Linked DNA regions of Caenorhabditis elegans. The protein of the gene in region 2 interacts with the protein of the main gene of each other region in a pairwise test. Each region holds a gene or a part of one and is shown on either strand. Other genes may lie near its edges.

Region 1 (10,475 bases), on a different chromosome or scaffold from region 2:
ACCTGAACTATTTGTGACGTAGATCTGCATAGACATGCGAAGATGTTTGGCTCAAAACTAAAAAAAAACGTTTAGAAAAAAGTTTGAGTGGGAAAATTCAATAAAAGTCATAGACAATGTTGCCGCAAATCAACGGAAGATGCTTGTGTCAAAATAGAAACGAGAAAATTTTCGTTTTTGATTAGCAATTCCCGTCGTTATATCACACGACAATAGAGTGGGAATATTGCACCGTAAGGCTTCCTATAGATTAGATTTTCGAGTCTGAAAGTCAAGGCAACATATTACGAAATGATTTTCCTTAATTCTATCAAGCACTAAATACAAAGTCAATTTTAAATCACACAAATTATAACTACTGTGAAATTTTAGAAAATAATTCATCACAGAACTATTGAGAGAGAAAACAACTAAAATAATCTGAAGGTGTAGTGCAAAACATTCATAATTGATGAAAAAAGAAGAACATCTGTTTTTATTCAAAACAAGACCTTTAACGGCCTTTCACATACATTTTCATCCACTCTTAACTTTTGGTCCTTTCTATTTCCTGCTATTTTGGACTATTTTAAAGTAATCTGGGAAGCCAAAACAATAGTCCAACATAGCGCCATGATTATAGAATGAACACTTTTCTTTCCCCTTCTGGAGTTTATCAAGGGATTGGTTTGCTAAGATCTTTAAAGGCAAGTGAGGATTTTTAGAGAATATTTTTTAAATAGATCTAAATAAAACACTTTTTTAAATTATTCAAAACTTTCAATACAAGTTTTGGCAAATTCTAAGTCCTACAGTGTAAAAACCTGAAACAATATTTAAAAAATTCCGTAAAAATGTTTTTGTCAATTTCCAAAAGTATTAGGCGACAACTGAGTAACTGCAAAGTTTTGACAGTAAGAAAATTTTTTTTCAACAAAGAAACGCTTTTTCACAATTAAGTTTTACTCTTTTGAGTTCAGCAATTCAAACCGTAAATTTCAAAAAGAAATTACCAATAAATGACAACATTACTTACCTTTTCTAAGATTTCGCAGATCAACAAAGTCAATGCTATTAGCACGATGGTTCCGCGATTGCGGAACTTGAAGTAATTGCACAATTTTGACGGATTGAACGAGTTCAGACGCCAAAAAAGACTGAATATGTGAAGTTTCAGAAAATGAGATTCGAGTGGATTGAGACATGGGAAACAAAGACGCTTGAAGGCAGTGAAAAAGGACAAAGAATGGAATAGAATAAAGACATTTTTAACGTTTGAAGAAGAAAATTTGATTGGAGATTGAAGAAAAGTAGCAAAAATTTGAACATGTGATGGAATAAGGAAGTTGTAGGATTTTTCATGAAAGCAGAAGTATCGTGAACACAAAATAATTTTAAAAATGAAGTAGCGACAAAAAGTTTCAATTAAGAACAATGTCGAATGTTTGAATCTCTATAAATGTTCAAAAAAAAATTTTCTTCAAAGATTTGCACTTGAAAAATAAAAACAAAGCAAAAAGGGACTGAAAATCACTTTACGCAAAAATTCAAATTTTTAATATGTGTTCTGTTTGTAGACATGCTGACTTCAACTGTTTTCTTAAGTGTTAGATATAATTCTTTTTTTTTTAATCTTAAAAACGAAAATTTCAACATCATCTTGATTTTTTTTGCAATTTAAACAATGTATTCACTCTTTTTTTCAAAAGCCTACTATATTTTTTAGAATGTTAGGAATGGAATTTGACAGTTTTTAATTTTTTTTTAAAGTTAGAATCTACTTCTAATGTTTTGAATTGATGATCTTTGAAAATGCAACTAAATTTTCCAATTAAAAATATGTGAAAACGTTTTTTTTTGTTCCCTAAAATCTCACAAGTTTTTGTGACACTTTACATTTTCTAGCAGACAAAAAGAAAATAAATACAGAGAATCAGGAAACTAGAACGCAAAAAAAATGTTTTTGGCATTATGCCAATGTGTTTTGTTTTTTTATAGATATTGAAAAATTTAAAATATATCAACTCAACATTTTTTTTCAAAGGGTTAACAAAATGCTTGAAAAAATAAAAAAAAAAGATTTTAAACAATATGTGGGGTTCTGTGTCATTTTTATTCTGGAACTTAGAACTTCTAGACTGAAAAAGAATGAAAATGAAGACAAAAACATAAGGAAAAGACGAAGAAAAAGTATTTGTCGTCCTAGGGATCAAGAGATAAAATTGAGTTTATTAGGACATTCTGAGACAAAAAGAGAAACAACGAAAAGAGGAGACTGACTGAATCCGATTTATTTTTAGGCAAACATCATTTTTGTTTTCTCATTTTTATAGTTTTTTGTTGATTATAAGGGAAAAGTACTATTTCAGAGAAAATTTTAGAAATAAAAAATTAAATTTTCGAAAATTTACCATAAACACACAAAATAACGGTAAATTCTTGAATATATAAAAACTGAGAACAGGTAAGAAAGTAAAGTTGGTGAAAATCTAGTGCCAGACAAATATAAACCCAAAATATCTCATGATTTCTCTGTCCTATGCTCCAAAATGTTAACTTTTCATTTGTATTCTAGACATTCTTATGCTCCAAAATAAGTGAAGAAAAGAAAAATTGAGGAGATTGAGAGAAAAAGAGTAGATTCATCAGTGATTCTCAATTTATCATCTATTGGGACATAGGTTGAGGGACAGAGATCCCAGTGATTGAAGAACGAAAAACCTAATGGAAAAATATCTTTATCAATTGATAATAAATGACATGAGAAAAAGAGATAATGCCCACGTTTTCAAAAATTGAAAATGTAGGTATCCATTATAGTTCAACACGATATCCATCATAGTTCAAAAAAGTCGGAATCTAATTTTTTTTTTCAATAGAGTGTTCATTACTTTCGATACAAGTGCTCTAGAAGGTTTTTTATTTGATCAACAAAAAATTGGGCTGTTTCGAAAAAAATATTTAAAAAATATTTAGTTATTCTTAGGATCACGAAGCATCATATTAGATTTGAAAATGCTCTTTCTAAATTATAAAAAGTTCAGATCGACCAGCTATAGGTGTATACTGCTCCAGAAGTTTTATGTTGAAAGTTTCATTCAGAAGTAATAAAACGAAGCTTTTACATCAAATCCTATAAAAACTGGTAAATTTTTTGTTGAAAATTGAACGGAAATTGCATGTTTCCTATGTTTTATCAATCGCATCATACGAACATTTCTCGAAATCACATGAACTTCTTTCCGGCCAAAACATTCCACAGAACTCAAGTTTTTATATTTTTCTCATTTAATACCTGGAAAACCAGAAAATTTAAAATGTTTTTTATGCTCGGGAAGTTGAAAACTTTGAGTTTTAAAGTGAAATTATAACTGTAAGTTTTGGGATCCTTATAAGTTTGTAAGATGATAGTTGTCAACCTATCATCTTACGATGATGATGTTGATAATGAAAACAACTTGATTTGCCAAAAAAAATCAATGAACAAGAAATCAAAACCATAGAACAAGATCGAACAGAGGCCGCCTGAAAAAGTTATTCCAAAACTGGCAAGAGTTATGAATATTGACCCTTTTTCTACTCCTAGACTAGCAAAGCGTTTCTATTTCTTTATTTTTCTATTATATTATTCGTTAAATTTTCTATTTTCCCATTCCAAAAATACACTATTGTGTATTTGTTTCTATATTCACCTGATTGTCTTCTCACTCAAAAAGTCCACTTTTTCTCACGTGTTTCGTTGTCAATCATTTCATCTAGTCAACGAACTCAACCCACATCAAACTCTACGCTCATCATATTTTTGACACGCACCAACACATGGATACTCAACAAAAAGATGTGTGCTCCCACATCATTTTTTGAATTTTTTGACACAATATGATAACTAAAATATCAATGATTAAAAAAAAGAGAAAATGAAACTATCGATACTTTTGATTTTTGTGTTGGAAACTGCAAGATATATGATATTGATTTCGTATTAGATAGTTTTCTAACAAGAGAAGTACATTTAGCTTTGGACTTCAAAAAAATCAATGTCATTCAAAATATGATCTCTAGAATAAATCTTCACCAAAAAAAATGACAGTATTCTTTTAAAATTTAAATATTCGTTTCTCATCGAATTTTTTCATAATTAATAGTATTTTTGCAAAAATAATCAAATTTCTAGCAAAATACTTACCCAAGGGCATCGGCGGTTTTTCGGAAGTTGGAGACAATGTTGAGGTCGTAGTGGATGTTCGAACAAATCGTGGACGTTCCCGGAAATCAAGAGAATTCCTGGCGGACACCGATGACTGCAATATCTAAATTTATGAAATACTACCTCATCAAAAGCACTGACCTGTTTCAGTCCACTGCTAGATTTTCTCACTTTTGGTAGCGATTCCTCGAGTATTTCGGGTCTTGTTGGCTCCGTGTCGGTTTGTTGGCTAAAAAAATTCAAAAAGTACTTCACTTTAATTATTGTTTTAAGGTTTTAAAATGAGAAGTAGTATCTAGATGTTTTTCAAAAAATCGTACAGGAGTAATACAATTCTGAATATTTTAGAATTCTATCATACTTTTATGTGCAATTTTCGACTTACCTAGTTTTCCAAGTGACACTTGGGTGGGGATTTGTTGAATTGTCAGCCGAGGAATTTGAAAGAAGAAGGACAGGATAATGGGATACCTAAAAAATTTATAAAATTTCAAGTATTTCTTAAATTATGTTTATACAGTTTTCTCTATTTCTCAACATTAAAATGCACAAAAAACAACTTTGAATTCATTCCAAACCTTCCACCTAATTAATTATGTATACACATAAAAATAAAACCAGAAATGTCTGGATGGAGGTCTCGAACTGATTGGAAGGAGCTAAGGAAAAAGAGCAGGAGATGAAGAAAGACCAAAGGTCCAATTAGTGAAAAATAAAGCAAATGAAAAAGAAACGGATAGATCTATGAGCGGAGAGTATGTGTGGGATACTTACTTATTATTTTTGGATATTTTTTAGATTTCAGATGTAAGACTATCATTGTTTTCATTGGCTTTACAGTGATTCGTCTTGTTGAGTTTGCTTACAGTTCCTTCAACAGGATGGATACACATGAAACTCTAGGCGAATGATAAATTTTCCAGACAGTGACCCAATGAAAATACTGAATTTTAAATGATACCATGCTTGGTTGTAAGTTTAGACAATTCTTTTGACTCCAATTTGTCAAAATCAAAAATTGTGTTTGCAATTCATGAAAATTTTGTCGTTACGAAAATAATCTTTTAACACCAATTTTAATGTATACATGTATATGTTTAACAGGAAAATACGCATTTTTTATATATCTACAAAAACGAGTGGGAAATTCAAAAATCTAATACATAGTTGAACTGATTGCCGTAACTTTTTGCAGTTAAGACTATTATCCCATTTTTTAATTTGCTGGTATTTTCGAAATCCCATAACTTTTGAAAGAAACAGAAACTTTAATAATGTGTTTTTTCGACAATGGTCATACAAGCGCCCTATCTAATTTCAAAAGTTCATACAAAACCCCAAATGCTATTATAATTGTGAGCTATGATCGCATGTTCCAAATGCAAAATTACCTAGCTAGACTCATAAATTTTCATTATAAAAATGTCAATTTCGCAAATTGAAAAATCAAAATTAGAACTCTTATTATTGATTTATAGATAGTAGAAAGAAAAATAACAAAAATTTATGTGTTCCATTTTTGAATATAAAAAGGAATACAAGCATCTAGAACATATATTCAGATATGCTCTGATGAATTTCAAAAGAAAAAGTGTTTACATAAATTTGAGTTTAATATTGTTGCCGTTCCCAAATTAACGGGTTCATTTGCTAGTTTTTTAAAAGAACGTTTTTAGCAAGCAACATTTCACAGACTAATTATTAAGTCTAAAAAATCCAGTTCTAGAATTCCAATTTTAGTGTTTGGATGTCTAGAGTTTTCAGATTTTTAAACATCTTGCGAAAAACTTACTTGTAGCGATGGAAACTTCTTCCCCATCATTCCACTTTTTCTTCTAACAATTGGATGTCCTGGACCTCCATTCGTTTTTGGAATTTCGTTTACATCACCAGCACTTGATGACGTCACTGATTCATTCCTCTGAATCTGAGCTGCATTTACAGCTTCTTCCAATTTCATTTTTGAATTCTGGAATTTTTCTAATTAAATAGACGATATTCTTAAAGTTCATAGTTTGAAAAATGTGTTGAAATTGGATAAAAACAAGTGTGATGAAATGTAATTTCCTGTTTAAAAGTAGAATGGAATAAAGTAGTCAAAGATTGGTTAAACCGGAAATTTGACAAGATGATGAAAAAATGAGAACTTTATGAAACATTTGACAAGAAATCTGTAAATAGTGCTTTAAAACTTTTTAAATTAAAAAAAACTGCAACACTTCCAGAAAAGTTGAAAATTTTCCATTTGGGGCTTCTAACAAGGGTATTTCAGCTCAAATTTTGACTTTCGAATGATGCCTATATCATTTGAAAAAGGATCTTTAGAATAGCTTGCTACAAAAATTTTAGCAGAGGAGGATTTATGTGAACTAGAAAAGGTATATCTCAAACTTTTCACAGAATTTTTCACTAGACTGAAACATTGTCTAAAGCAATATAAAAAATATTTTTTTCAAGTTCACAATGCTCCTCTACTTCTACATTTTTGTTTTTGTAATAGCTAATAAATCTATTCTGAATAACGTCAATTTTGTAATTGTCTTGCTCAAACAATTGTAAATCAGTAATTCAAAGGTTTAGAAGTATTTCCACATATATCTAGTGTATTTGTGAAAATTATTTCCTGTAACCTACTCGTCATATAAAAAGTCTCAAATAGCACAATGGACTAAAATAATTGAAAAAAAAAGAGTCAGACTATGTCTCACAACTCAACTTTTTTCACATTTTTTTTGCCTCCTCTCGTTGTCTCTGTGAAGCATAATTAGTTAGACACTATAGAAGCATGGGGAGACAGAAGGAACACACACACGTTTCTCCGAATATGTTGGCTCCGTTTATAACGATGGCGGTTTTGGTGGCACTATGAGACCACACACATACACACAGACACACATTTAATACTGACTGACACAAAATAATAGGATTTAGTACACATAGTCATTGTTTTTCTTTGCTGAGAACAGTTAAGAATTTCTTACAAAAAATGTTTGAATTCCTCTAGCAAACTCTGGAGAAAAAAACAGAGTTTGAGCTACATATCACAGTTAAAATGCGATGTGCGCATAGTGTTTTCGGCGTGGATCGCGCGTGTGAGAAAAAGGAACCGGAAATTATGCCCATTCCGCGCGCATTGTGCGTCCATCGCGAACTTGAGATGCATTTTGAGAGCATCGCGAACATAAATTATGGGCGCACTGTGGGGTTTTTTGATAATTAAACTAGAAAACCCCGCAAATCCTGAGCATTTAAGACAATTTTCTAAACAAAAACACATTTATAAACATGACTTAAGTGGGAGAACGACAAAAAGATAACATTAGTATTAACAAATTGAAATCTTAAACAACACAATTACTTAAAAATCGTCTTCATCTTGCTTGGACTCATCGGCATCACTAACAGCCTCCTTTCTCTTGCTCTGCTCACGAATCGGAAGTTCGGAGGCCTTGGATGGTCCTTCAGTTCGAATCATCTCGTCCTCCTCTTGTTCCACGAATTCGAGTCGACATCTACAAAAATGTTTTAGATTATTCAAGGTTAACCAATTTATTCTAGGTATTCCAGTAAAATGTGAGGTTTTTGTAGTTTTTTGAACGCGGGTAACTTTGACGTATATAATTATACGTTTTCATTTTCTATACATTTTCTATACATTTTCTATACATTTTCGTATACATTTTCTTAAATTAATAAATACCTTCGTTTTCCGTTCCGACATCCATCTCGTCCCCATTGATATCCAAGTTCTCTTCGAAATTTTCCTCGCTGATGTTCTCCGGCACTACTCCATCTGAAGTATCGTCATCTACCTCATCATTTCTTCATATTCATCATCATTACTTTGTTCGACAACAATGTTTTCTGGAAAATAATAAAATTGAGCTTTTTTTTTGTTAGGATACATTTTACCAAGACAGGTCTGAACACTCTGTTTCTTCGCTTAGACATTCCGATGTTGAAGATTTTCACGTTTTTCCTGTTGATGGAATTTTTGTGAAGTCTGCTGCTCGAAGAGAAGCTGCAAAAAAATTGTTTCTACAATATTATTTAAAAGGTGAATTATAACGCAGATGAGAAATAGACACGAGTAGACATGATAAGTAGGCATGAAGAACAGTGGGCATTTCCAGATTCAACGGAACAATCTGATTTTGGTGATATTTCGCTCTTGAAAATACAGGAACAGACAAGATATTTTACAAAATCTTCTGAGTATGCGCAAATACCGATAAAAACTCAGATTACAATTTTAACGACTAAATATATGTGAAACTACAGTAATCCAGACTATGCTTCCATTTATTAGGACTGAAATACTGCTTGTCATGTTGTTTAAATAATGTTTTTAAATGCTTCAACTGCTTAGAGCAGTGTTTTCTCTATAAGACCCACAATTTAGAAAAAATATTATGACTATTACAAAATACCACATATAAAACAAATATTCACGAAAAAACCAGTGAAAAAAATAAAAATTCAATTAAAAATGCAATAAAATGGTAAAAAATAGGCGGAAAAAACAATATATATTTCGAATTTCTTGTTTCGCGAGTGGAAGCATCATATACTTATTATGGGCCCATCGCGAACCGTTCGCGATGAGCCCATAATGGGTGGTCGCCACACGCGATGCGCGCATTATGGCCTTACACCCACTATGCGCACATCGCATTTTAACTGTGTATATTACCACTTCAAGACCATTGTGCGAAAAACGGGTTTCAATTATTTTTGACGACTTTATAAAAATCAAAAAAAATTAATAGATCATCAAACTGCTCTTATTCAAAAAAAAGTATGAAACTAACTGAATTTTTCATAAACAGATATAAAAATATTATCAAGCAATTTTCTTCAACACAAATTAATTTTTTAAGTCTTGATAACTTTTCAGATTTTAAAAGAGATCGTTGCTTTATCGGAATAAGAGGAGCATTTTCATCAGGTGAATTTCACAAAAAAGGGCGAATTGTAGACAGAAGCCCTAGAAAAAAGAGATAAGAAAAATGAATCACGGGATATTTTGTTTTCATGCTTTCCTCTTTACCACAAGAAACACTGATTACCTGAGAGCCATGGGGGCGTTGGAGAAAAATAATTGAAAACCAAATGAAAATCGGGAAATAATTGGAAACATGGAAATAGAGGCCTTTGAAACATGAGGAAACTGGAAGGTGGAAGAGAAAATAATCAGTGGCCAAATAAAATGAACATTTCTTAAAAATCAGAATTGATGTGGAATTGTGTAACCTTGAAAGAAAAATGAAATGGGTCCCAATATCAAACGTTTGTAGACCTTTTTGCTTATAGCTTTTCTATTCAAAATGAAAAATATTTTGAAGCACAACTAATAAGAAAACGATCAAAAAAGTAGTTGCCTGAAAAATTTCAAATAGTGAAACAACAAGCACTGGAAATACTTTGATACGTCCTGAAAATTGCAACAATTTTCTCGCGGTAACTCTAAAGTTCCGTGCACTCTAATATTATATTTTTAGTTGGTTTCAAGTCGAATTGTATTTTCTATGTAAGTTTTGTTTAAAAAATGTCATCCATTGCAAAAATTTTGGGGTACAACTACTACATAAGTACCATAATATATTCAGCAAGTGACTGAAACGATACGTGAAAGCTCAGATTCGAGAATTCTAAATCTTCCGTAGATTTATCTATTTTGGTCTAAAAGCAAGATCACTTCAAGCCGCAAATACTTAACGAGACCCAAATAATGGTTAACCGAACGTTTTCCTTTCGCATTGAATCGCGATTTCAATGTGATTTAAAAAAGCGCAAAAAAGGTTGTTTGTCCCAGAACTGCCTGAGTTAACTAACCTATATCATGCAACATATGGGAGGTTTTCTCTCTATTTCTTTCCTCTCACGTGTCCTGCATATATATTTCGATAGACCCCTACTCTTCTTGTGCCCATTTTCCAATTATCTTCTGCTCTGTTGAATTGAGCACGACAACGACGTCGCAACGTTTTGAAGGAAATAAACGACAAAAGAAGGTGTTTGAGATTGCCTCCATTTTTGGAAAAAAAGAGACAAAAATACAATGTCTAGAAAAAATGAGGGTGGAGTCATAAGGAGGCTATTAAGTGCAATGAATCGGTGAACTTTAAACGTTTATAAAATGATTGAAAAGTCTAGGAAATCATGGGAGTTTGAATGGAAAATTGGAAAACACTAATGAATCTCACCATTAAAATTCACGAAAATGAATTCTCGAGCAAAAAATAACTTTCTAAATTTTCAGTAGAAAATTATAGCAATTTAAATACAC
Region 2 (12,664 bases):
TCGCCGTTCAACGTGAACTCGGAATCCCAATGGAAAAGCTGAATGTCAATGGTGGAGCCATCGCTTTGGGCCATCCACTCGCCGCATCTGGAGCCAGAATTTCCACGCATATTGTGCACGAGCTTCAGTATGTCACCAAAACTTGAATTATATCCATAATCTAATTTTTCTAAAATCTTTCAGCCGCCGCAACGTCAAGTACGGAATCGGATCGGCTTGCATTGGAGGAGGACAAGGAATCGCAATTCTCTTCGAAAAAGTTTAATTTGAATTTGAATTTGAACTTGTGATTTGATTTGTGTACTATAATTTAAGATATTAGATTTGAGATTTGTCTTCGTGTAAAATTCCATCTTCCACATGTATTTGTATTTATACTTTCTTTTTTTTTCAATATTTTTCCTATTTGCAGATAGAAATGAAAGTTTTATCTAAAAAAAAATTTTTTTCTGAAAAAAACCAAAAATCTGCAAACACTAGCACGCAATCTCGCGTCTCTGACGCCAATTCCCCCCCCCCCCCCCCCCCCCATTTCACTCGTAGTTTCCTCGGGTTATGACACCACTAATCCGAGCAGAATTGATTATTTTTCTCCCTTTATTATATTTCATTTGCCATATGGTTTAGATTTAAAGCTTAAAATAAAATGCCAATTTTCAGATCGGTTCGGGGGTTTCAAAATGCGATTCGAGGACATTGGCATTTCGAAGGTGAGCGTTTTATGAAATTTTGTAAACAAATCTCTTTTATTCCACGGGCTGGCGGCGATCAAAAAGCAGGAGTAGAATAAATAAAATATGGATAATGGCGGTATCCGCCAATTTTCTCGTCACCCGAAAAAAAGTACGCAAAAGTTGTTAGGACTTTGTCCTTCCAGAAAATAAAAATATTACAAAAAAGTAGCGAAAAAAATCAACTGAAAACTTAAATGAAATCGAATTTTTATTCAATTTTCTGGAAGATTTAAATGATTTTTTATTACTTAAGCATGAGAATTCTGGCCATCTCGTACGCCCATGGGTCTCGCCACGCGGACAACGAGTTACTGTATTTTTTATAAGACGGAATCACTTAAAACTGTCAATTTTTTGAATTTTTCCCGTTTTTTCTACATGTTTTCATAGAATGTGCGTACTTATCAAAATAGATATAGGAAAATTCATATGATGCGTTTAATTTTGCCATTTGAAATTGGCATTCCAAAAAATAAGTGCCAAACCACAATTTGCCGGTTTGCCGGAAATTTTAAATTCCGCCAAATTGCCGATTTGCCGGAAAAAATCGTTTGCCGCCCACTCCTGATCTACAGTAACTCGCAGAACGCGTGGCGAGACCCCACGCGCAGAATATATGGTCAATTTGATTATAAATATTTGGGTTTTCTGTGCTTTTTTTGCTTTTTTTTCGAGTTGTCCGTCGAGATTTATTCAATTTCCTCCGTGTTTTTTTGGCTCCCCGCTTCTCCCAAAAAAGTGTTCCACCAGATCCATCTGTTTCGTCGAATAATGTAATGAGGTTGACATGCGACGAGATTCAAGAGATTGCCCCTCAACCAACCGACCGGGGCAACTCCAGGCACCAACTCTTTTTTCTCTATTCTTCTACTAGTTTTGGTCGGTCCCTCATTTCCTCTTCCTGACGACAACTTCTCCCGATCTCCCTCTCTCTCTGGCTCTCTCTGGAGCCACTACTACCACTCGTTTCTCTGCGCGCGTCATTTTGTAGTGTCTGTGGTGGTCTTGTCGTTTATTTTAAGATTTTCCACTTTTGTTTGTTTGTGATGAAAGTTTCGCAAACTTGATGTGAATCAAAATCTGCTGAATTTCGAAATTTTCAAAATATTATCCGTTCGCAAAAATTTTCACACTAGGCGACTATTGTATTACTGAGATCGTGGCGAGACCCACTCGGACAAACATCGTGTGCCTTTAAACTGGAGTGTCAAAATTTTACGAAGTTACAATTTTTTCAAAATTGATTGGCTCTGAAGTTTTCATATTCAATTAATTTTGCAAAAATTTTTGCGCTAAAAATACGGTAACCGGTCTCGACACGACAATTGTTGTTAAATGTGAAAAGGTGTGCACCTTTAAAGAGTACTGTAGTTTCAAACTTTCGTTGTGTCGGAATTTTCCTAGTTTTTCTACTGTTTTTTTTTTGCAAATTCATGTTTGATTTTAGTTTTAAATAAACATAAATTTGAATACTGTTAGAAATTAATTAAAACTCAGAAAAGGTCGAAATTACAGTACTCCTTAAAGGCACACATCCTTTTTTGAGACTGGGAAAATGGAAACTTGTTGATTCTTCTGAAAAATAATATAAAAAAATCGGAAAAACTTGATGTCAAAGGATATTTTACAACTCTAAAATTAAAAATTTTTTAAATTTTTTAAAAATTAAAAAAATTTTTAAATCGAAAAAGCTTCATCCTTGTTGAAAAAAGCCAGTAATTCGACTTTTCTCAGAATTCATAATTCCTTTGACTGATAAATTGCGAAGAATATTAGATTGGCTACTAAGAAAGTTGTCTATAGAATAAATGATTATGAGAATAACTTCTGATGCAAGATCAAATATATTCCAGCTCACGCATGAATCAAATCTGTAGTAAACCCGCAAATCCGTAGTATTTATCCCTTTCTAATTGACTTTTCTCGTCGGCTGTCTACTTTCTAGCTCCTAAAGCCAATAACAAGCTTACCCGTCTGTCGTCCATCAACATTCAGTCATCTGTCAACGCATCCCAGGGCTTCTCCCTTTTTATCTCTAATTTAGGTTCTTCTCGGTTTTCGCTCCAAATTCATCGTTTCCTTTGTTTTCGCCCCGTATCTGCGTGGTGCCTCCTCGATGTTTTTCATTCAATCTATCTTTATTTTGTGCCTAGCTCTTTCTATCTCTCTATAAATAAACAAGGATCCTTTTGCGTTTCAAATATATGTAAAAATTCCAATTCGCGCGCTCCTTCTCTTTCTGCTTCACTGAATTTCAATGGACCATTTTCCCGAAGACACACACACAATCTTTTCGGCGAAAAAAAAAATGAGCAAGAAACACGGAGAAGGAAGAGCTGATTAAACCGAAAAAAAAACGACGACGACGAGATGACGGAGACGCTTCTCTTTTTCACCCGGTTTTGCTCATTTTTGCTCATTTTTTCTTTTACAATTAGACGATGTATAGATTTAGGATATTTTTCAGGTTTTCTTTCCTATTACGGAAGAATTCTGACAATGCGTATGGCGCACCATATTTTACGCGCAAAATATCTCGTAGCGAAAACTACAGTAATTCTTTGAATGACTACTGTATTTACGTGTTGATTTACGAGCTCAAATTTTGGAAAGGATTTTTCGTGAAAATAAATTTTTTCGAGCCCGTAAATCGACACAAGCGCTACAGTAGTCTATTAACAAATTACTGCAGTTTTCGCTAGGAGATATTTTGCGCGTCAAATATGTTCCTCAATACGCATTCTCAGAAATTAGTGTTTCCGTAATAAATTCTACAAGAATACTCATCGTGGAAACGCGCTCCACTGTCAATTAAAAATGCCCCGCCCCCAATAGTTGGGTCTCGTTAGGTATCAGGTATTTTCCGGAAAAAACCGGAAATTCAAACTGTGTCAATCATTTTCTCTAATTTTCAAGCATTTTTTCGTTATCTCTCATGTTTTTTATGTCGAGATTATTAAGGAAAAGCATTGTTTTGACATAAGAACCTTTTTAAAAACCACAAAACCTAACGAGACCCATCTCGCGGGGGCGGAGCGTATTCAATTCTCCGTGGAGCGCGGTTTTTTCTATGAAAAAAAAACGCAAACAACGTTTAAAATTCTCTCTTCCTCAAACCAGAAGAGAAGTTTTTTTTTAGTTTCAAATGGAAAAAAAACCAGCCGCATTTTTAATTTATCCGTCAAGCTTCTCTCTCCTCTTCAATCCAGCTCTCTCATTTCCATGACCTCATTTTGCTCGGTTTCACTCAACAAAAAAGTTCGGTCCCAAGGGATCTTTTTTCCTCGTTTCAAAAAAAAGTTCTCATCTCTGTTGTTTTTGTTTCCGTTTTCCCTTTCCGGTTGCTTCCTCCAATTTCAATGTCGTCCGTCCTCTTCTTCGAGACAAAGTACTTTTCTCCTTTTTTTTTCTGCTCCTTAGTTTTTTTTAAGGAAAAAAAAACGAGAAAATATGTGCGTAGAGACCTTTCACACTTACTTCAAGGGACTCCCTCTCTCGCTTTTCACACCCTTTTCCCGCTGCAAAAAAGCTTACGGAAAAGGAAAAATGGATTGGGTTACGGAGACGTTGACAGACGACGGCTTTACGATTTTATGCTTCCCCTTTCCGTTTTTTTTTTCGAATGCTGGAAATTTCTGAATTTTCGATTTCGTTTGTTGTCAATTTTGCAATTTTGCAATTGTTGCACCAACAATAAGTCTCGACACGAAATTTTTTTTGTCAAATGCAAAATGGTGTGTGCCTTTAAAGAATACTGTAATTTCAAAGTTTGCGGAATTTCCATTTTAATTTTTTGAAATTAAATTATTACATTTTCATCGGAAAGCTATGAAAAATATTTTGCATAATATATGGAATTACAGTAATCTTCAAAAGCGCACACCTTTTCGCCTCTGACAAAAAGTTGTCGTGTCGAGACCGGATACCGTATTACAATTTAGTATCACTTTTCTGATCAAATTATCCTTTTTATTGAATCCTTTTCACTGAATATCTATTCAATTTCCGAGGAGAAAAATGAGAAAAATGACGTGGCGCTGTATCCGTTTCCTTCTTCTCTTCATTTTTTCTTCTCCTCGCAACACTTCTCAAATTGATGACGTTGTTTTTTTTTACATTGAGCGTGTCATCGTTCTAGATAGTTAGTAGTTTGAAATGCAAAGAATTCGATCTCGTTCGTTATTCCTCCGTTCCACTCCGAAAGTCTCCAAAAATTCCCCAACAACTCTTCCAGCACCTAAATGCCAAAAAATGTCGTCAACACCTTCATCGGTGACGACACCACTGTCGGCATGGTGGAATAATATGTCGCTGTCGGGTATCTACCCATCAATCTCCACCTCAACTCCATCTTCCTCATCCTCGTGGAGCTCGCATTTCGTATTTGGCGGACATCATCATCATACGAACAACAACACGGCGAACACTCCGCAATCTACAGTACCCCCGTCGGCGCTGTCGTCGGGTTATACTGAAGATATTACGGTGGCCGGATCACTGTTGAAGGATAAAATTAATGGATTAGTTGATTCTCTGATGGGAAGAGAGTCGGTTCATTCCGGGTGTGGTTACGGGGAAGATGGACGAATTGCCATGATGGTAAGAAGCTTGAAAAGGGGTGTATATTATGGAGACACAGAAACGCGCTCCGCCTTCGAGTGATGGGTCTCGTTAGGTTTTCGCCTATTTTCGAGTATTTTTCATTTTTTTTGTTAGGTTTTTCGAAATGATGTTTAATAATATACATGTGAATTTGAGAAGCGAATATGGGTTTTTTCTCAATTTCGACATGGAAATTATTAAAAAATAATAGAAAACTTGACAAAAAGAACGAAGAATACTTGAAAGCTAGCCCTATAATAGATTATACGAAATTTACAGTTTTTTCTAACGAATTCCCATATTCCAGGTGGATAAAGTATGCCTTGTCGATCGCCTAGGGTGTCAGGAGAATCTAGTCGGCACAGTCCATGTCACAACTACACACATCATCTTCCGAGCTGAAAATGGATCAAAAGAGTTATGGCTGGCGACTGGGCTCATTTCTTCAGTGGAAAAAGGGACGCTAACAGCTGCCGGATGTATGCTAGTGATTAGATGTAAACATTTTCAGGTTTGTAGATAATTTATTGTGATTTGAGTGAATAATTAATTAAGCTTAATGTTTCAGGTGATAACACTTCTGATCAGTAGAGATAAATCGTGTCAAGACCTATACGAGACGCTTCAACGTGCCGCAAAACCTGGTAAGTGATTGAAGTGACATGTTAGCGTGAAGTGAAATATATTATAAAAGATGTATGAAATGTCGTGAAACATCGTTAGTTGATTTGCCGAGTTTTTGGTTTTTGTCAGCTTCTAAGTTTGAGTTATTACCTCATTCTGTCTCAATTCACTTTAAATATTAAAAACATAGGAAAATACTGTGCTTCATTCACTAATGTCGACTGATTTCAGTTTCAGTGAACGTGACGGAACTGCTTGCGTTTGAGAATCGAGAACCCGTAGAAGACGTTCGGGGATGGAGAAGATTGGATTGGAATTCAGAAATGACACGGCAAGGGATCACAAAGTCACAATGGACAGAATCGAATATCAATGAAGGATACACGATCTGCGACACTTACCCCAATAAGCTGTGGTTTCCGACAGCGGCCTCCACATCAGTTCTACTAGGATCCTGCAAATTCCGAAGCCGTGGCCGTCTTCCAGTACTGACCTACTTCCATCAACAAACTGAAGCCGCTTTGTGTAGATGTGCACAGCCTCTGACGGGATTCTCGGCACGATGCGTAGAGGATGAGAAGCTTATGGAGTTGGTAGGAAAAGCGAATACAAACTCGGACAACTTGTTCCTGGTAGATACTCGGCCGCGAGTCAACGCGATGGTGAATAAGGTTCAGGGAAAAGGATTCGAAGATGAGAGGAACTATTCAAATATGCGATTTCACTTTTTCGACATCGAGAATATTCATGTGATGCGGGCATCTCAGGCACGTCTCCTCGACGCGGTGACCAAGTGTCGTGACGTCACAGAATACTGGAAAACGCTTGAGGCTTCTGGATGGTTGAAGCACGTGCGGAGTGTTGTCGAATGCTCACTTTTTTTGGCTGAATCCATCAGTCGAGGTACATCATGTGTCGTTCATTGTTCGGATGGATGGGATCGGACTTCGCAAGTTGTCGCACTTTGTCAACTTCTTCTTGACCCATACTACCGTACTATTCACGGATTTCAAGTTCTCATCGAGAAGGATTGGCTCGGTTTTGGACATAAATTCGATGATCGGTGTGGACATGTGGGGGCGTTGAATGATGAAGCCGGAAAAGAAGTTTCACCGATTTTCACTCAATGGTTGGATTGTATTTGGCAAATTATGCAACAAAAACCACGAGCCTTCCAGGTAAAATCACTGATGTTATTTCGAAATTTTTCTGGATGTTCCAGAAGTTCTCGAATTTTAGAAAAAATGTTTTCATAAAATTTAGTTATGAAATTCCCGTCAAAATTCTTTTTAATTAAAACTACAGTACCCCTACAGTACCCCGTGCCCTATACAGTACTACTACAATAATACCCCTTGAAAAAACAAAAACTGTTTTTTTTTCAAAAACTACAGTAATCCTACAGTACCCCATACAGTACTACTACACTCTTAAAAAGCTGAAGCTCATTTTTTCCAAAAATACAATAATCCTACAGTACCCCTACAATTTTCCTATAGTACCCACTACAGTACAATATCCCTTGAAAAAAACAGAAACTCATTTTTTTCCAAAAAAACAATAATCCTACAGTACCCCTACAATATTCTTACTAGTGCCTCCTACAGTACTACTACAGTAATATCCCTTGAAAAAACAAGATCTGATATTTTCAAAAAATACAGTAATCCTACAGTACTCCCAACTTGATCTCAACTTCAATTTTCAGTTCAACGAACGATATCTGATTGAGATGCACGAGCACGTCTATTCATGTCAATTTGGAACATTTATTGGAAATTGTGATAAAGATAGAAGGGTAAGAGTTTTCTAGATTGTTTTTCATCAAAACTCATTGAAAAAAAAATTAAATTTCGCGCCAAAATGGAAAAAGTTAAAATTTCTCCATTTTTTTTTGAAAAAAAATTGAATTTCGCACCAAGATGTTTTAAAAAATTTGAATTTCGCGCTTTTTTTTGAAAAATTAAATTTAAATCTCGCTCCAAAATGCGTTTAAAAAATTAACTTTTGAAGAACCGTTACTCTTAGATATTTATAAATAATTCAATTTTTTCAGGATCTAAATCTGTCAAAACGCACGAAATCTCTGTGGACTTGGATGGATGCGCGTCATGACGACTATATGAATCCATTTTATTCGGTAATTTTTAAATCTTCTGAAAATTAAATTCTGAAAATGCGTATTGCACAACATGTTTGACGCGCAAAATATCTCAAACTACAGTAATTCTTTAAATGACTACTGTAGTGCTTGTGCCGATTTACGGGCAATTCCAAAATCGATCCCGTAAATTGACACAAGCGCTATAGTAGTCATTTAAAGAATTACTGTAGTTTGAGATATTTTGCGCGTCAAATATGTTGTCCAATACGCATTATAATACTAACAATTCCAAAAAATCAATCATCTAAATTAAAATGTTTCCAGCCTACCGCACACGTTGCTCTACTGGATCTTGACACTCGTGCAGCTCGCTTCACAGTTTGGACTGCAATGTATAATCGATTCGACAATGGTCTACAACCAAGAGAACGGCTTGAAGACCTAACTATGGCTGCGATGGAGCACGTTGGAGTACTAGAATCCCACGTGGCACAGTTGAGAACGAGACTAGCCGAACTGAAGACACAACAAAATCAACAGATAACTTCAACGAATACACCGACGAATATGGTTGATAGTGGAATGAGCAGTGCAACTGATGATTTGAAGAATCTCAGTTTAAGCCATCCTTTGGATCCATTGAGCTCTACACTACCGATTCTGGAAAGAGCAACAAGTCAAGAAAGTGGAGTCATGGATTCATCGTTATACTATCCTGATGAGGCTCTGACCAAATATTCACTAAAATGGCAACCTCTTCGTGGAGCCGATAGATGCTCAAATCCAGCGTGCCGAGGGGAGTTCTCATCGACGATTGAGAGAAGAATTCATTGTCATTTGTGTGGAATGGTAGGAATAATGTGGAGAAAAAAAGTTATTTTATTAATTTTTTTTCAGATTTTCTGCCGCCGCTGCCTCAAAGTGTCTGCAGACGAACGTGAACGAGTATGTGACAAGTGCAAAACTGATTGATTTATTGATTTTCTTTTCATTCTTTCAATTTTTTAATTTATTTCCCTACTTACCAATTTTTCCTCTTTTTAATTTTTACCTTGTATCAAATTTTATATATTTCCCCATGCCCACCGAAATGCTTGTGATCACTTTTTGTATATTTTGCACGGGTTTTAACACTTTTGAGCCACTTGAGATTATATGCATAATTTATTTCAGAAAAAATAAACTCTTTGAAATTATATGTTAACTAATTAACTAGTTAAAAGACAATAAATAAATAATTATGGAGTTTTCACAAGAAACAATACCAATTAAAGTGTTAAAACCGTTAGCTGGAAATGATAATACAAAGGAAACGTATTACGGGATCACGAAATTCTGAGAATGCGTATTGCACATCATATCTGACGCGCAATATATCTCGTAGCGAAAACTACAGTAATTCTTTAAATGACTACTGTAGCGCTTGTGTCGATTTACGGGCTGGACCTTCTTTAATTGTGACATCGATATTTAATTTTCCTCCAATTTTTTAAAAATATTCAAGCATTACATGACAAAAATAATACGCGAAATCGGACTACAGTAGTCATTTGAAGAATTGTTGTAGTTTTCGCTACGAGATATTTTGCGCGTCAGATATGAAGCACAATACGCATTCTCAGAATTTAGCCTTTCCGAATATGATTATAAATGAGATAAAGCAATATTTGGGGGGATAAGCTCGTGAAAAGTGAACAAAAGTAATAATATTGAGATGCACTGTGACAATAAAATGACGGGATTCGGATGTTTCAAGAATTTAATTTTTTTTTAAAATTATTATGCAATTTTGCCCGTAGAGAGTCAGAATTTAGAGCGCCAGCGCCTCAATTTTGAAGTGAATAAAATGAGTGAAATTTAATTGAGACCTGCTCGCAAAAAATTTAAAATGTAAAAAAAAACTTTTCCAGTCAAGAAAATAACGAAATTAGTTTAGAAAGTGGAGAAATTCAAATATTATATCAAAATGAAATTTCGCTTCACGGCCAAATAAAACGCTCCGCCTATCTATTATGGGTCTCGTTAGATATTGGCGAGAAAACAGGAAATTTAGATGATTCCCGTTATTATTTATTTTTCTGGCATTTTCGAGGATTTTTTCATTCCTTAAAATTATTTGAAATCACATTGAGTTCAGAAAAAATTACACAAATGTTTGAATTGGCTGGGTTTGCAGCCAAATACCTAACGAGACCCAATTTTGGGGACGGAGTATTTTTTATTTGGCCGTGGAGCACGCTTGCACTTTGATTTCAAAATTGCGAATTTTTCTGCGTTCTTATAATACTGAAAAACGCGCTTGCCAAATTTAATTTCTTTTGTTCTTCTTTTTTTTTAATTAAAAAGTCGAATCAATCTCTTACGAAATAACTCCATATAAATTCGATTTTTCTGTCTTTCGTATTCATCAAAGGTGTTTTGGCTGATTGGAGGATTGACGAGTATGTGTTGAATATCTTCGGTCTTCGGAATTTCAAAGATGAATTGATTTCCAAAATGAGCACAGAATCCGGGGCGTGGTCCAGTTATTTGAAAAATTTGCGCAGGTTTTGGAAATTCCTTTTGTTTTTCCAGGATACGCCTGAGAATAATTTTCAGATAAGAAGACCTTTTTTAAGAAGCTAACTCACAATTTGACATCAGTCTTCAAATCAACTATCTGATACCGTAATCCAGAAAGTGCATCCATCATATGCATTTGTTGGGATGGCCATTGAGTTGTTTCCATTAGATGAAGATATTGAAAATCTTCAATGATCTCTCCACGACACCAGCGCTGAAATTAGGAAAGGTATAAGTATTAGCTTGTGTTAGAATTTCTCACTTTTAAAAAAGAATTTACAGCTTCTGATGGTACCTGCCTTGCCACAATATTGATCATAGGTGAGTTCACAAAATTCAACGTTTTTCTTGTGAAATGAGTGCTCACTCTGTTGAATGTCAAATTCACTTTTCCGGTCGTCATCTGAAAATTAGTTAATTTGAAATTAAATTGGTTAAAATGGACTGTCACTTGTATAATTTCTCGAAATTGCCTAAATTTACCAAATTTAGAAAAGCAAAAATGAACAAATTTGATTAAGGTGCCAAAATGACCAAATATCATAATACAATTTTATAAAAAAGTTTGAAAATTTTTGAAAAAAATTTCAAAAAGTGGCAATTACTGAGTTTTTGCCACTTTTTGCTACTCGAATCCCTGCAATGTTTGAGTATGAATATTTGAAACATAAGTAGACTATGAAATTGGAATTTTTTTTTGATGGAAGACTTTTAGAAAGTGGAAAAACTGAGACTTTTCCAATTAAAAAGAATCATATAAAATTTTCAATTTTTTTTTGAATTTTTTTACTACGACATCTGGTCTTTGTGGTGCCATATGCATGCTTTAAATTTTAATTTTTTTTGAAACTTAAACTTGATCGGGATCAGGGCTGTCTTTTTTTTGTTGGTTTTTTTGTTTTTTTTTTTCAGACTAAAAATACAAAACAATTTTTTTTAATGTTGTGGCTTACCAAAGAATGATGGAAAATCTGATCCAACTTTCCCACGTCAAGAAATTCCACGTCAATGATCTTCTTTTTGTCATCTAATGGATCAATCGCATTTGGAACCAAATTGTCCAACCAATTATTTATAAACCGAATGTTATTTGCACCATGAATAATTAATTTTTTAAGTTTCAGCGGGGGAATTTCACCGGTATAGTTGCTCTGGAAGATTAGAATTGTTTTATTTCTTCAACTGTAAAGTTCGTACCTGTTGAATAGAATTCTCTTTTCCTGGAATCAAATTCTCCACTTTAATCCGAAGCGTGTCGATTTGGAAGTTTCGTAGCCAATACTCAATATATCTCGATGTTCTTTCAACAAACGTGGCACTTAATCGAAGTTTTTCCGGTTGAAAAATGCCTGATGTGATGTTTTTCTGTCGATCAATTGACCATCCTCCGGTTATCCAATTCGGTGATTTTTTCTTGCTCATGAAAATAGAATGGAATGAGTGTTCCGGAGAAAATTGCGCTGTGATTTCGGCAAATTGATCATGATTCCATGTTGTTGTGAAATGGAGGCATAGTTGTTGTAAATGAGGTTTATCACTTCGAGATATTGATAAAAGGATTTTACATGATTTTTCCAGGTTTGATCTGAAAAATTTTCAATTTAACACAGTACATCGTGAACTTAAAATTTGCAAAAAGTCAACATATTTCCAGTGCTTCCAGCGCCAAAACCACTCCCGGGTAATTTTCAGATGACCTGTGGTAGAAAACATTGGGGTAGAAAACACAGGAAATGAATTAAAATTGTTTTTCAAAAGCTAGATTAGTAAAATCATACACTGTAAACCGCTTGGTAAAGTTTTGAACAAATCTTCACAAAATAAATTGTTACCGAGAAATTTTCAAAAAGTTTAAAATTTTCAGATTTTTTATAGAAAACGTTGTATTTCCTGAAAACGTCTTAAATAATTCTTATGATCATAATACCAAATAAAAAACAGTCCGAACCAAAGTTTAAGCCGATCATTTTTTATTTTTTGAGAGTTTTTTTTCGAGCTCAATGTACTCCTCTACTGCAAAATTTTAGTTTCATAAGTT

The links.
Region 1: the proteins of mtm-6 (region 2) and kcnl-2 interact in a two-hybrid assay, tested with the Caenorhabditis elegans proteins (one study listed by BioGRID).

Annotation. Positions count from the first base shown.
Region 1 is NC_003279.8:8,170,559-8,181,033, reverse strand, and holds the start of kcnl-2 (Calmodulin-binding domain-containing protein), read right to left. Parts: upstream 6,147-10,475; coding exon 5,979-6,146; intron 4,865-5,978; exon of another isoform or gene 4,850-4,864; intron 4,658-4,849; coding exon 4,572-4,657; intron 4,416-4,571; coding exon 4,328-4,415; intron 4,281-4,327; coding exon 4,166-4,280; intron 1,129-4,165; exon of another isoform or gene 1,016-1,128; intron 37-1,015; coding exon of another isoform or gene 3-36; intron 1-2.
Region 2 is NC_003281.10:13,346,425-13,359,088, forward strand, and holds mtm-6 (phosphatidylinositol-3,5-bisphosphate 3-phosphatase), read left to right. Parts: upstream 1-4,968; 5' UTR 4,969-4,985; coding exon 4,986-5,333; intron 5,334-5,643; coding exon 5,644-5,847; intron 5,848-5,904; coding exon 5,905-5,980; intron 5,981-6,191; coding exon 6,192-7,138; intron 7,139-7,668; coding exon 7,669-7,758; intron 7,759-8,016; coding exon 8,017-8,100; intron 8,101-8,388; coding exon 8,389-8,913; intron 8,914-8,961; coding exon 8,962-9,036; 3' UTR 9,037-9,260; downstream 9,261-12,664. Other genes in the region: acaa-2 (3-ketoacyl-CoA thiolase, mitochondrial), read left to right, coding at 1-127, 184-265; F53A2.9 (F-box associated domain-containing protein), read right to left, coding at 10,399-10,645, 10,695-10,840, 10,889-11,029, 11,580-11,777, 11,824-12,211. UniProt on the Caenorhabditis elegans protein: Probable lipid phosphatase that specifically dephosphorylates the D-3 position of phosphatidylinositol 3-phosphate and phosphatidylinositol 3,5-bisphosphate, generating phosphatidylinositol and phosphatidylinositol 5-phosphate.